2 linked regions of the Drosophila melanogaster genome follow. The protein of the gene in region 2 interacts with the protein of the main gene of each other region in a biochemical or structural test. Each region holds a gene or a part of one and is shown on either strand. Other genes may lie near its edges. The genes, in order: BicD and Rab6.

Region 1 (4,946 bases), 5.4 Mb from region 2:
TAAAACGCAGTCGATGGGAAAATTTTTTGCGCCTGGGGCTCTTTGGAAAATACCCAGTTAATTTCAGTAAGCTAATTTCCAACCCAAGACGGAAACTTGGCCCTCCTTCGCTGCCGTCTGCCCGCTGATTTATGTCACTTTATGCTGGGGTCGCCCGAGGCAGATATCTTGATTGCAAGTGGAAATATGTCGCCCAGTCTCCACATAGCTTCCTTTAAACCTCACCCCTTTTTTTACACTTTTGTGGGGACACAGAAAATGCCCGCAGTGACGTGGTCGTCGACGTTGCTATTATTTTTTTTGTAATTTTTAAGCATCCATTATAAATGTGTGTGTGTGGGTGGAGGGTTCTTTTGGCCTCGCACTCATTTTTTTATTTGTGTTCTCGTAAAAGTTCAGTTGAGTTCAAATCCAACAAGCTGGAAACTATCAAGCTACGTTACAAGTGCACTGCCACCTGTCCAACAATTAATTGGCAGGCTTTTTGTTCGAAGCGCATAAAAATGCATGCGCATATACGTATTACGCACATACATATGCCCATTTGTAAAAAAGGTGTTACCGCCTGCATTGTGTGTGTGCGTGTGTGCAGGTGTTAACGCCCCCGTAGGATTTTAATTCCAGCTAACTTTTGTTAGCCCCATGGTTAATGGAACTTTAATTGCACTGTTTGCTAATTGGGGATACTTAAAGAATATGAACTATATGTTTACACCAAAATCAAATCTAAAAATAACAAATGATTTTGTTAATTTGCGTAATACAGTAAACATGTGTATAATTGTTCTGATCTTTATTTAACCAGTTGTATTTACTGTATGCTTTATTTACCCTTCTCCAACAAAATCGGCCTAAACCAACGTTTTCTTTTGGCAACAAGCAAAACAAACCAAAAAGGAAGCTTGTTGGGACACCAGTCGGAAAAAGCCAAAGCACGAAATGATAATAGACGGCTGAATGAGTATAGACTGCTTCCCCCATTTGATTTTTACCGAGGAAAGGACACAACTTTTCCCTGCCGTCTGGTAATGCAGTTCAGAGCCCGACAATCCACGGCCTGTGAAAATTCCAGAGGAAATGCCAGGCGATGACGAGGACTAATTGGAAAGGAAGGTTGGTGGTAAGAAGAAAAGGAGGAGTTGGATGTGGAAGTGGAGGTAGTTGGGCACTGAATAAAGGTGCAAAATGAAATGGCAAGAGTAGATTGGCCGTGCTGCAATCGGCCAACTGAAAGCTGAGATAATTTTTATAGGCCAAAACAATGTTTATGCCAAATTGAGCGTGATCAGTGGAGACAAGATAAAGATAAAAAAACAAAGAAAACATAATTTTGAAACAATGAAATAATTCTGCCAGCCAAATGCATTTTAAATGTTTAAGTGTTTTCAATCAAATCAAATGAGAATGCTATAGTGTTAACTTTAAAGATCGCTTTATGATTTGAACAACACATATCATCTAGGATCACTAGAATAATGGCATCGCATGGCTTTTTTTGGCCTTTATACTGACGGACAGAAGGACACTTGGCTAGCGATTATGATCTATGATAAACATACATAAATACTTTTTGCGGTCGTAAAGGCTTTCTTTCAGCTGTTAAGTTGTGTTTTTCATTTTTTAGTTTATTTATTGTTTTGTTTAGCGGACTGAATAGTATCTTCAATCGACCCAAGCGGTTCCACTGTATTTAAAGGTATACAAAACAACAGCACGTGACCATATGGCCAAGCCAGTTTCCGATTTCATGATCAGAGAGCGAATCCCAATTATTTCTGCTAGACCAGACCAGACGGACTTTGCAGAGCGATAGGTAGACTCGCCGAAAGAGAGTCAAACTGGCCAACAGGTGAGCGAGTTAGTTTGCCAGCAAGACAAATTGTTGGCCGTTGTGGAAAGGTTTTCTCTGTCTAAATATGTAGGTGTGTGTGCCCCAAGGTGTGTGTGAGTACGCGAGTGGGCCAGCTGGGCGATAAGCGGCGACTGCTTGGAAACAGATCGAAAAACATAGCAACAGAGGGGGCCAAATTGGCGGGTTACTATATAACCCATTGGAGCATTTAAAAACTGCGAAGAATTGTAGGCAAACTTACCTCCTGTGTGATGTCCAGTTCGTGGCGCGTGTTGTCGTAGAGCGTCTCCAGTTCCTCGCACTTCTGCTGCAGGGCGGACTTCTCCTCCAGCAGGGACAGTCCGTACTGGGCGGACTGGGCGCTGGCGGAGGACACCTGGTCCAGTTCGCGCGTGAGGCGCTCCACCTCCATTTGCAGGTCTTGCACGGATTGGTCCGCCGATGGGCCGTTGTTGCTGGCGCTGGACATGATGATGGATGGATGGTGTCCTTAGTGGTCGGGGGAGGGGGTGATGGTGTGGGTGTTGGTGGACGGTACAGCTGCCCGTGGGCAGGTGAATCTCCTCGTTGTTGCTGTTGATGCTTCTATCCTGGGCGGAATCTTTTCGATACAATTTTATGTTTTGGAGGGAAATCGATAGAAGTCGATTTGTATATGCCGCACTGTTTTGTTGTACTTCAGTGCTTTTTTTAAAATAATTTTTTTTATCGAAACCCCACACTCACACAACTCCACTCGCGGTGTGCTTTTTGCGTGTGTGTGCGTGCGTTTCACCTTTTCTCTTTTCCGTTTGAATGCGAACGTGTGTGTGTGTGTGTGGAATGGTATCGCTGCGGGTTTTCTCCTCTCTTCACTCACCGCGCTAAATTAGTAAATTAAACAGCGCTTAATGGCCAATTAACCGTGGGCTTTTAACGGCAAATAATTCTGCACTATATTTATATATGCCTGTAAGTCACACACACACACCAGCGCACTGCCGTACGCACACATAGGCGCGTATAAAACAGTTGGCAGCAGAAACTGAAAACGCAGCGCAGGAAGTTGTTTCAATTAACTCGAAAAGAAACAGCCGAAATGACATCACACAATTTCCCCTTTCCTTTCGTTCGCTGGCAAAGTGGGAGTTTTTCCCATTTTCCCTGCACTTTCCCCGTTCGCACGACTGCTCTTCGCGTATTCTCGTTATCCGTTGCACAATTGCGGCGTAGACGGCTAAATGCGGTATATATCAGGCCCAATCGCTGCGGTCGTCGATGGAGTCGAAATTTTCAAGCAAGTGCAAAAACAAAATTTTGTCCGCAATCACGTCGATTCTTGGCAATGTTTGTGACGGAATTTCAGTGCGACCGCAGGCAAAACTTTCGATAATGCGGAGAGGTGTGGAGAAAAGCGTTAAGAATGCGCTTAGCTCGGACCCAAACCTCGCGTTGGTAATAATAATCGCGTTTCCACTACTAAGGGTATGATTTTATTTAAAATGCTTGAAGCAACAGATTTATTTTTATATAAAAATATATAATATAAATATAATTTAAGCTGAAACCAAAGTTTGTAAACAGCGTCAGCATTTCCCATACTATCAGAATGTTCGATATATGTCTCAAAAGTTATCGGGCCATGTAGCACATCGATACTCGATTTTATATTCACATTTCGCCTAATCACATTTACTTTTCAACTTGTCTGTCGATCGAAATTAAGCGAACAGAAATCTAAAGCATAACCAAAATGCCGGACGCAGTGCAGCAGAGTTTCGTGCGTAGCTTCATTGACTACCTGAAGAAGCAGGGGGACGTGATGTCGCCGGACCAGACCGAAAGCATCGAGGTGGCGATCCAGTGCCTGCAGGCGGCCTTTGACTTGGGCGATGATGTGGAGGCAGCGCCGGCTGCGGCTGGTGAGGAGCAGGCCACCACACAGAGCAGCAGCACTGCGAGCGCACCGGACGATGATGCGGTGGCCAGCGGAAGTGCTGGTATCGGCGCCGCCGCCGCCGCCGTTCCCAATAACATTGACATGTTCGAGCTCTTCCAGTCGCTGTATACAGAACGCAATCCGGAATCCCTGGCCCTGGCCGAATCCATCAAGAACGAGGGCAACCGGCTGATGAAGGAGAACAAGTACAATGAAGCACTGCTGCAGTACAATCGTGCCATCGCCTTCGATCCCAAGAATCCGATCTTCTACTGCAATCGGGCTGCGGCCCACATCCGGCTGGGTGAGAACGAACGCGCCGTAACCGATTGCAAGTCCGCCCTGGTGTACAACAACAACTACAGCAAGGCGTACTGCCGCCTGGGCGTGGCGTACTCCAACATGGGCAATTTCGAGAAGGCGGAACAGGCCTACGCCAAGGCCATCGAGCTGGAACCGGACAACGAGGTGTACAAGAGCAACCTGGAAGCGGCCAGAAACGCCAGGAACCAGCCGCCCCAAACGGGGCGATTAAGGGAAGACCTAATCAACATGCTGTCCCAGCCAATGGTTAGGAATTTGTTCAACAACGCCGAGATCGACGTGGAGCAGCTGCTGTCGATGCTTCAGAATCCAATGATCATGAACACCATTCGCCAGCAGTTCGGCGGCGGCAATGCCCCGACCCTGCCCAATGACATGGTGCAAATGATCTATAACATGACCAGCCAATTGACTGGCTTTCCCAATTCGAACGCAAATCCTGGCAATGAACAGCAGCCGGGCAATCAGCCACCACCGAGCACCTAGAAGTGGATAGAATCCCGATCCCCGATCCCTGCCTGGATCGGCGGCACACAGATTAAGTTGTTAAGCTGAAACTATAAATGTATTTATAATGTTTAAATGGCTTCTATTACGCATACATACATACATACATATACATTTTTATCCAATGGAAATAAATAAATGACCGTGCAAATTGCCGCTGTTCCAATCGAATTTTCAATGAATATTAAATATATATATTATAATGCCTCATATATTTTTCTAGTTGCCCGTCGTTAACAAAATTAAACAAGTATATCACACAGTGCATGTAATTTAATGTTGCTTTTATTGAATTCAAGAAATGTATGCTAGGGGTTTTTTTTTTGCTGATTTGCATCTCTAAAT
Region 2 (4,684 bases):
TCCAGTGGGTCCTGCCTATGATCAGTACGCCCAGTCAGTGCGGGATCAGTTGCACGATGCTGGATTCATGAGCGAGGCGGATTGCGATGCCGGCGACACGATGAACAAGAAGATACGCAATGCTCAGTTGGCCCAGTTCAACTTCATTCTGGTGGTGGGCGACAAGGAGCGCTCCTCGAATACCGTTAACGTGCGCACTCGGGACAACAAGGTGCACGGCGAGGTCTCCGTGGCGGAACTCATCACAAAGCTGCAAAAGATTCGCGACGAATTCATCGCCAACGAGGACAGCTTCTAAGACTCTATTTCGAACTATTTATCAAAAGTATACTTAACATTTGCATAGCAAAGCAAGTACGCATTTTTGTTCTTTCTATGTATTTACGCTTACGAAACCGGAATTCACAAATAAAAAACCAAATCCAAACACATTTTAAGGTGTTTCAAATAGAAGAGAAGAGCATGCAATCAAATAAAAGCAATTCGATTCAATATACGATTATTAAGCTTCCCCAACTAAAAATCGTATTTTTCTGATCCACCTTAAGCCGCCTATTTCACTCCAGTTTCTTGACGAATCAGTGGAATTTGTCAGCAATTGAGGACTAGTCATGCCGACACAGAGGTGCGCTGTAGTCCATTCAGGAACGATTTGGAATGATAAGATAAGTCGGCCCACATTTGGCGGAAAACTTTTTGGGAAAGGTGTGCGTGCACCCACAACGTATGAGTCATGTTTTGAATTTATTTTTTTGTATTAATTTATTGCTAGTATCTTGTATACTTTTCATTTTCATAATTTGATTTATTAAAAATTGCATCAATAGTTTATGTTTTTATTCAATTATCAATTTTGTAAGCTTTTGCTTTTCGCGTAAAAAATGCACAAAGTTCTCTCGCTAATCGAAGCAAAAATCGTTAATAATATTGTTAAGTGTTTGCTCTGCTCGTGCTCTGCTTATCTGTTTCAGTTTTAGTCATAAAAATACATATTTTATATTTGTGTATATTTATTCATAAGATGCACGTGGCCAAGTCCTATGCCATCCACAGTTCCAGTTAGCAGTCGCGTTCGCTGTGCTAAAAAAAAAACCGAAATCCTAACCAAAACTGGCGAAACAAAAGCCGCAAACAGAACAGAACGGGGGCTAAAATTGGAAACAAAATGCCTGGCTGGTGGAATCATTGAACACAGACTGGCTGCGTGGTATCTACGACTGCTGGAGATGCCGAGAGCTGGAATGTCGGAGGATCCTGGGACCGCCTGGCCTGACATAAGTACATGGTCTTGGGTTTTTTTTCGTTTAGAGGGTTTAGGGGGTATCGGAAATGCACTACACTATATTCTTGTCTGGTAGCTAACTCGCAAATATTACTCTGATCTTGATCCCTGATCTCGTGTCAATGAGTTAGCATTCGCACTCGCCTGCGCTCGGGATTAGCTCGTCAATTAACAGTAATTAGTTAGCCGATTTCGTTAATTGTTGTTTAGTCTATTTGCCTTTGCTATCATTTGTTACTTTATAAATAAACTTAAACGTAAAGTGTGTATGTGTGTATAGATGTTGAGGAATCCGCCGCAGATCCGGCCAGTACATACACCTGACACCTGTGTACACCAGTGCTGCTGGCCGATCTCCTGCATCTGCATCTGCTCCTGCTGTTGAAAAAGGGGGAGAGGATGGTTGGATCGTCGGCTCAACCGGTTCTAGCAGGCGCAGCCGCCCTCGGGATCCTTTGTCTCGTTGGGTGAGTCCTTTAGCACAACCTCCTGCATGTCCTCGGAGGGCTTGTTCTCCGTGGAATCCATGCCGGGCAGTGCCGCGGCCACCCGTCGGAACAATTGCTTCACATTGTAGCCGGCCTTGGCGCTTGTCTCGATGAACATCACGTTAAGCTCCTTCGCCTTGCGCTCACCCTCCTCGGTGGACACCTGACGCTTGTCGGAGAGATCCGTCTTGTTGCCCACCAGCATGATGATGACGTCGCTACCCCGCTCCGTGCGCACGTCATCGATCCACTTGGAGGTCTGGTGGAACGAGTTGGTGTTGGTGATATCGTAAACGACCACTGCCACCGTGGAGTCGCGTATGTACGAGGGTATCAGCGAGCGGAATCGCTCCTGTCCCGCCGTATCCCACAGCTGCAGGCGCACAGTGCGATCCTCCAGGTACATGGTCTTCGATAGGAAATCAATTCCGATCGTCGCCTGGTACGTGTTGTCGAAGCTGTCGTACATGAAGCGCGTAATCAGCGAGGTCTTGCCCACACTCTGCTCGCCGAGGAAGACGAGCTTGAACTTCCGCAGCGGATTGCCAAAATCTCCGGATGACATCTTCCTCAACGTACGTGTCTACTTTTTCTTAATTACGGGTTTGCTGAACTCTCTTCTCGCTCCGCTCCGCTCTCACCAATCTCCACCCCTCCTCACTGTTTATAATGGGGCTGGGCCAGCGGTTTTCGGGGCCCTTTCGCACTGCGATTTCTCGGGATGCACCGCTTTCAAGTTGCCGCACTCTATTACACACGCTCTAAATGCTTTCCGTCTGGCTAAAGACTCAATTGCGGCTCGAATGGCTTGGTAAATCGCTAGGTTGAGTCGTGGAAAAATTACGGTCTCTGCTTCTTCTTCTTTAACTTCTGAGTCAGTTGCTGTGTGACCAGAGTGGCAATCAAAAGCAATTTCTCTGCCACGCTATCGATAAACGCATATTTGTACTAAATCGATGTTTTATGATTTAAAAAAAAATCGATTGATATTCGTTACCGTTATTAAATAATTTTAACTAAAATTTACCTGCTTAAAATGTTTAAATACTGATGAAGTACAAGGTAATTGCTTAACTTTTTATTTCATATTAAAAAGTGAATACTAAGTGTAAGAAATACTAACAGGTGATAACGCGATTTTCAAATATAAAGCTCTCTAAAGTGATTTGCTTGTTTTTAGATAAACGAGCGTAGGTATTTGCCCATCCTATCGGTGGAACTTGACGTACTTCTGTCAAAGAGTCACTGTTCGGGCGTCGCTTAATCTCAAATTATAATAAGTGGTTATCTGAAGAACACACGGTCCTTAATTGAAAGCCTTATCTGCTGGCGCTGGCAAAATTTTGGAATGGCGAATTAATTTAAACGTGCCGCGATAAAGGTCGATGTAAACAGTTCCGCGAAAACTATGTTAGCGAACGGACAGCAAACAAAGTCGTTGGCCAGTGGGCTTCTTCTCCTACTGGGCATATGCCGAATATCCGGAGTGGCTATCGGCGCACCCGAGGGGCGTGTCGTGGGTGGATCTCCGGCAGCGGTGAATAGTGCTCCCTATGCGGTGTCCATGCAGTACGGTGGCACCCATTACTGTGCCGCCAGCATTCTGAATGCCAACTGGCTAGTCACCGCTGCCCACTGCCTGACCAATAGTAACCAGGTGCTGGGCAGCACCTTGGTGGCCGGAAGCATCGCGGTGGACGGAACTGCAAGCACTACGCAGACGCGGAGCATCACGTACTTCGTGATCAATGACTTGTACACCGGCGGAACTGTGCCCTATGACATCGGAATGATCTACACGCCCACCGCCTTCGTTTGGAGCGCCGCCGTTGCCCCAGTGACGCTACCATCCTCGGGAGTGGTGCCCACTGGCACCGCCAATCTGTACGGATGGGGCAGCACTAGCACCACGAATACCGCCTCCTATCCGTCGACCCTGCAGGTGGCCACCAATGTGCCTATCATTTCGCTGAGCTCCTGCGAAAGCGCCCTGGGCACCAAGGGCAGCGATGTCCACTCGACCAATCTGTGCACTGGTCCTCTAACTGGCGGCGTTAGCATTTGCACCTCGGATTCGGGCGGACCACTGGTCCAGGGCAATGTCCTTATTGGCATCGTGTCCTGGGGCAAGTTACCTTGTGGTCAGGCCAACTCACCGTCGGTTTACGTGCAGGTCTCGTCGTTTATATCGTGGATATCGGCTAACCAGCAGGTGTCCTAAATAGTCGAGTTTTTCCCTATTTTTTCAATAAAAGCAATCAAATGTGTGTCCCTAGTGGCGGTCACTTAAATGTGGGACTTTCCTTCGCATCACAGCTACTATATCAAACAACGAGCTGTTTTTTAAAGTTTATCTTATCTCGTAAAGAGAGAGGAACACGGTGAGCAACCAACGAACAGATTTATATGCTTCACATATTTTCGGGCTGTAAATAACAATTTCTTACATTGCACAATAACAGAATAACGAACCGAATCATTGTGAAATATGTGAGTTAAGTAAATAATGTTGAGACTATGGTTTCAAAATCTAAACATTTCTTACCAGAACTAACCTTTTTAACAATGGTCTTATAGATATTATATTTATAATATTTTCCTTATCAATGGACGGGGATCCCCTCGAAAATACAGAATGACAAACTTGAGATATTGCCCTCAACACCCTTTTGCATCTATTCTCATTGTTGACTGAGTCTATCATAACAAGAGAGAAATATATATATATAAAATCGTATAATCTTAAGTTATAATAGGCTCTTATCTGAAAGACAAGGGCTCTGATTGAAAGTTCTTATCATATTCTCGGTTGGCTCGCATGAAATTTTTTATCACGAATTAATTTAAAAAGCCGTCGATAGTGCCAATGTAAACAGTTCTGTGAAAACCATGATTGCGAATGGACAACAAACCA

The links.
Region 1: the proteins of Rab6 (region 2) and BicD form a complex in vitro, tested with the Drosophila melanogaster proteins (one study listed by BioGRID).

Annotation. Positions count from the first base shown.
Region 1 is NT_033779.5:17,470,004-17,474,949, forward strand, and holds the start of BicD (bicaudal D), read right to left. Parts: upstream 3,213-4,946; 5' UTR 2,322-3,212; coding exon 2,094-2,321; intron 1,850-2,093; exon of another isoform or gene 1,600-1,849; intron 1-1,599. Other genes in the region: Sgt (small glutamine-rich tetratricopeptide containing protein), read left to right, coding at 3,585-4,580. UniProt on the Drosophila melanogaster protein: This protein is essential for differentiation. It may play a role in localizing of Nanos (a maternal determinant) activity in oocytes. Functions redundantly with BicDR.
Region 2 is NT_033779.5:12,106,465-12,111,148, forward strand, and holds Rab6 (Rab6), read right to left. Parts: upstream 2,653-4,684; 5' UTR 2,336-2,652; coding exon 1,709-2,335; 3' UTR 757-1,708; downstream 1-756. Other genes in the region: ThrRS (Threonyl-tRNA synthetase), read left to right, coding at 1-298; Phae1 (phaedra 1), read left to right, coding at 3,179-3,991; Phae2 (phaedra 2), read left to right, coding at 4,684-4,684. UniProt on the Drosophila melanogaster protein: Protein transport. Regulator of membrane traffic from the Golgi apparatus towards the endoplasmic reticulum (ER). Mediates membrane trafficking during egg chamber growth and organization, possibly upstream of exocyst component Sec5.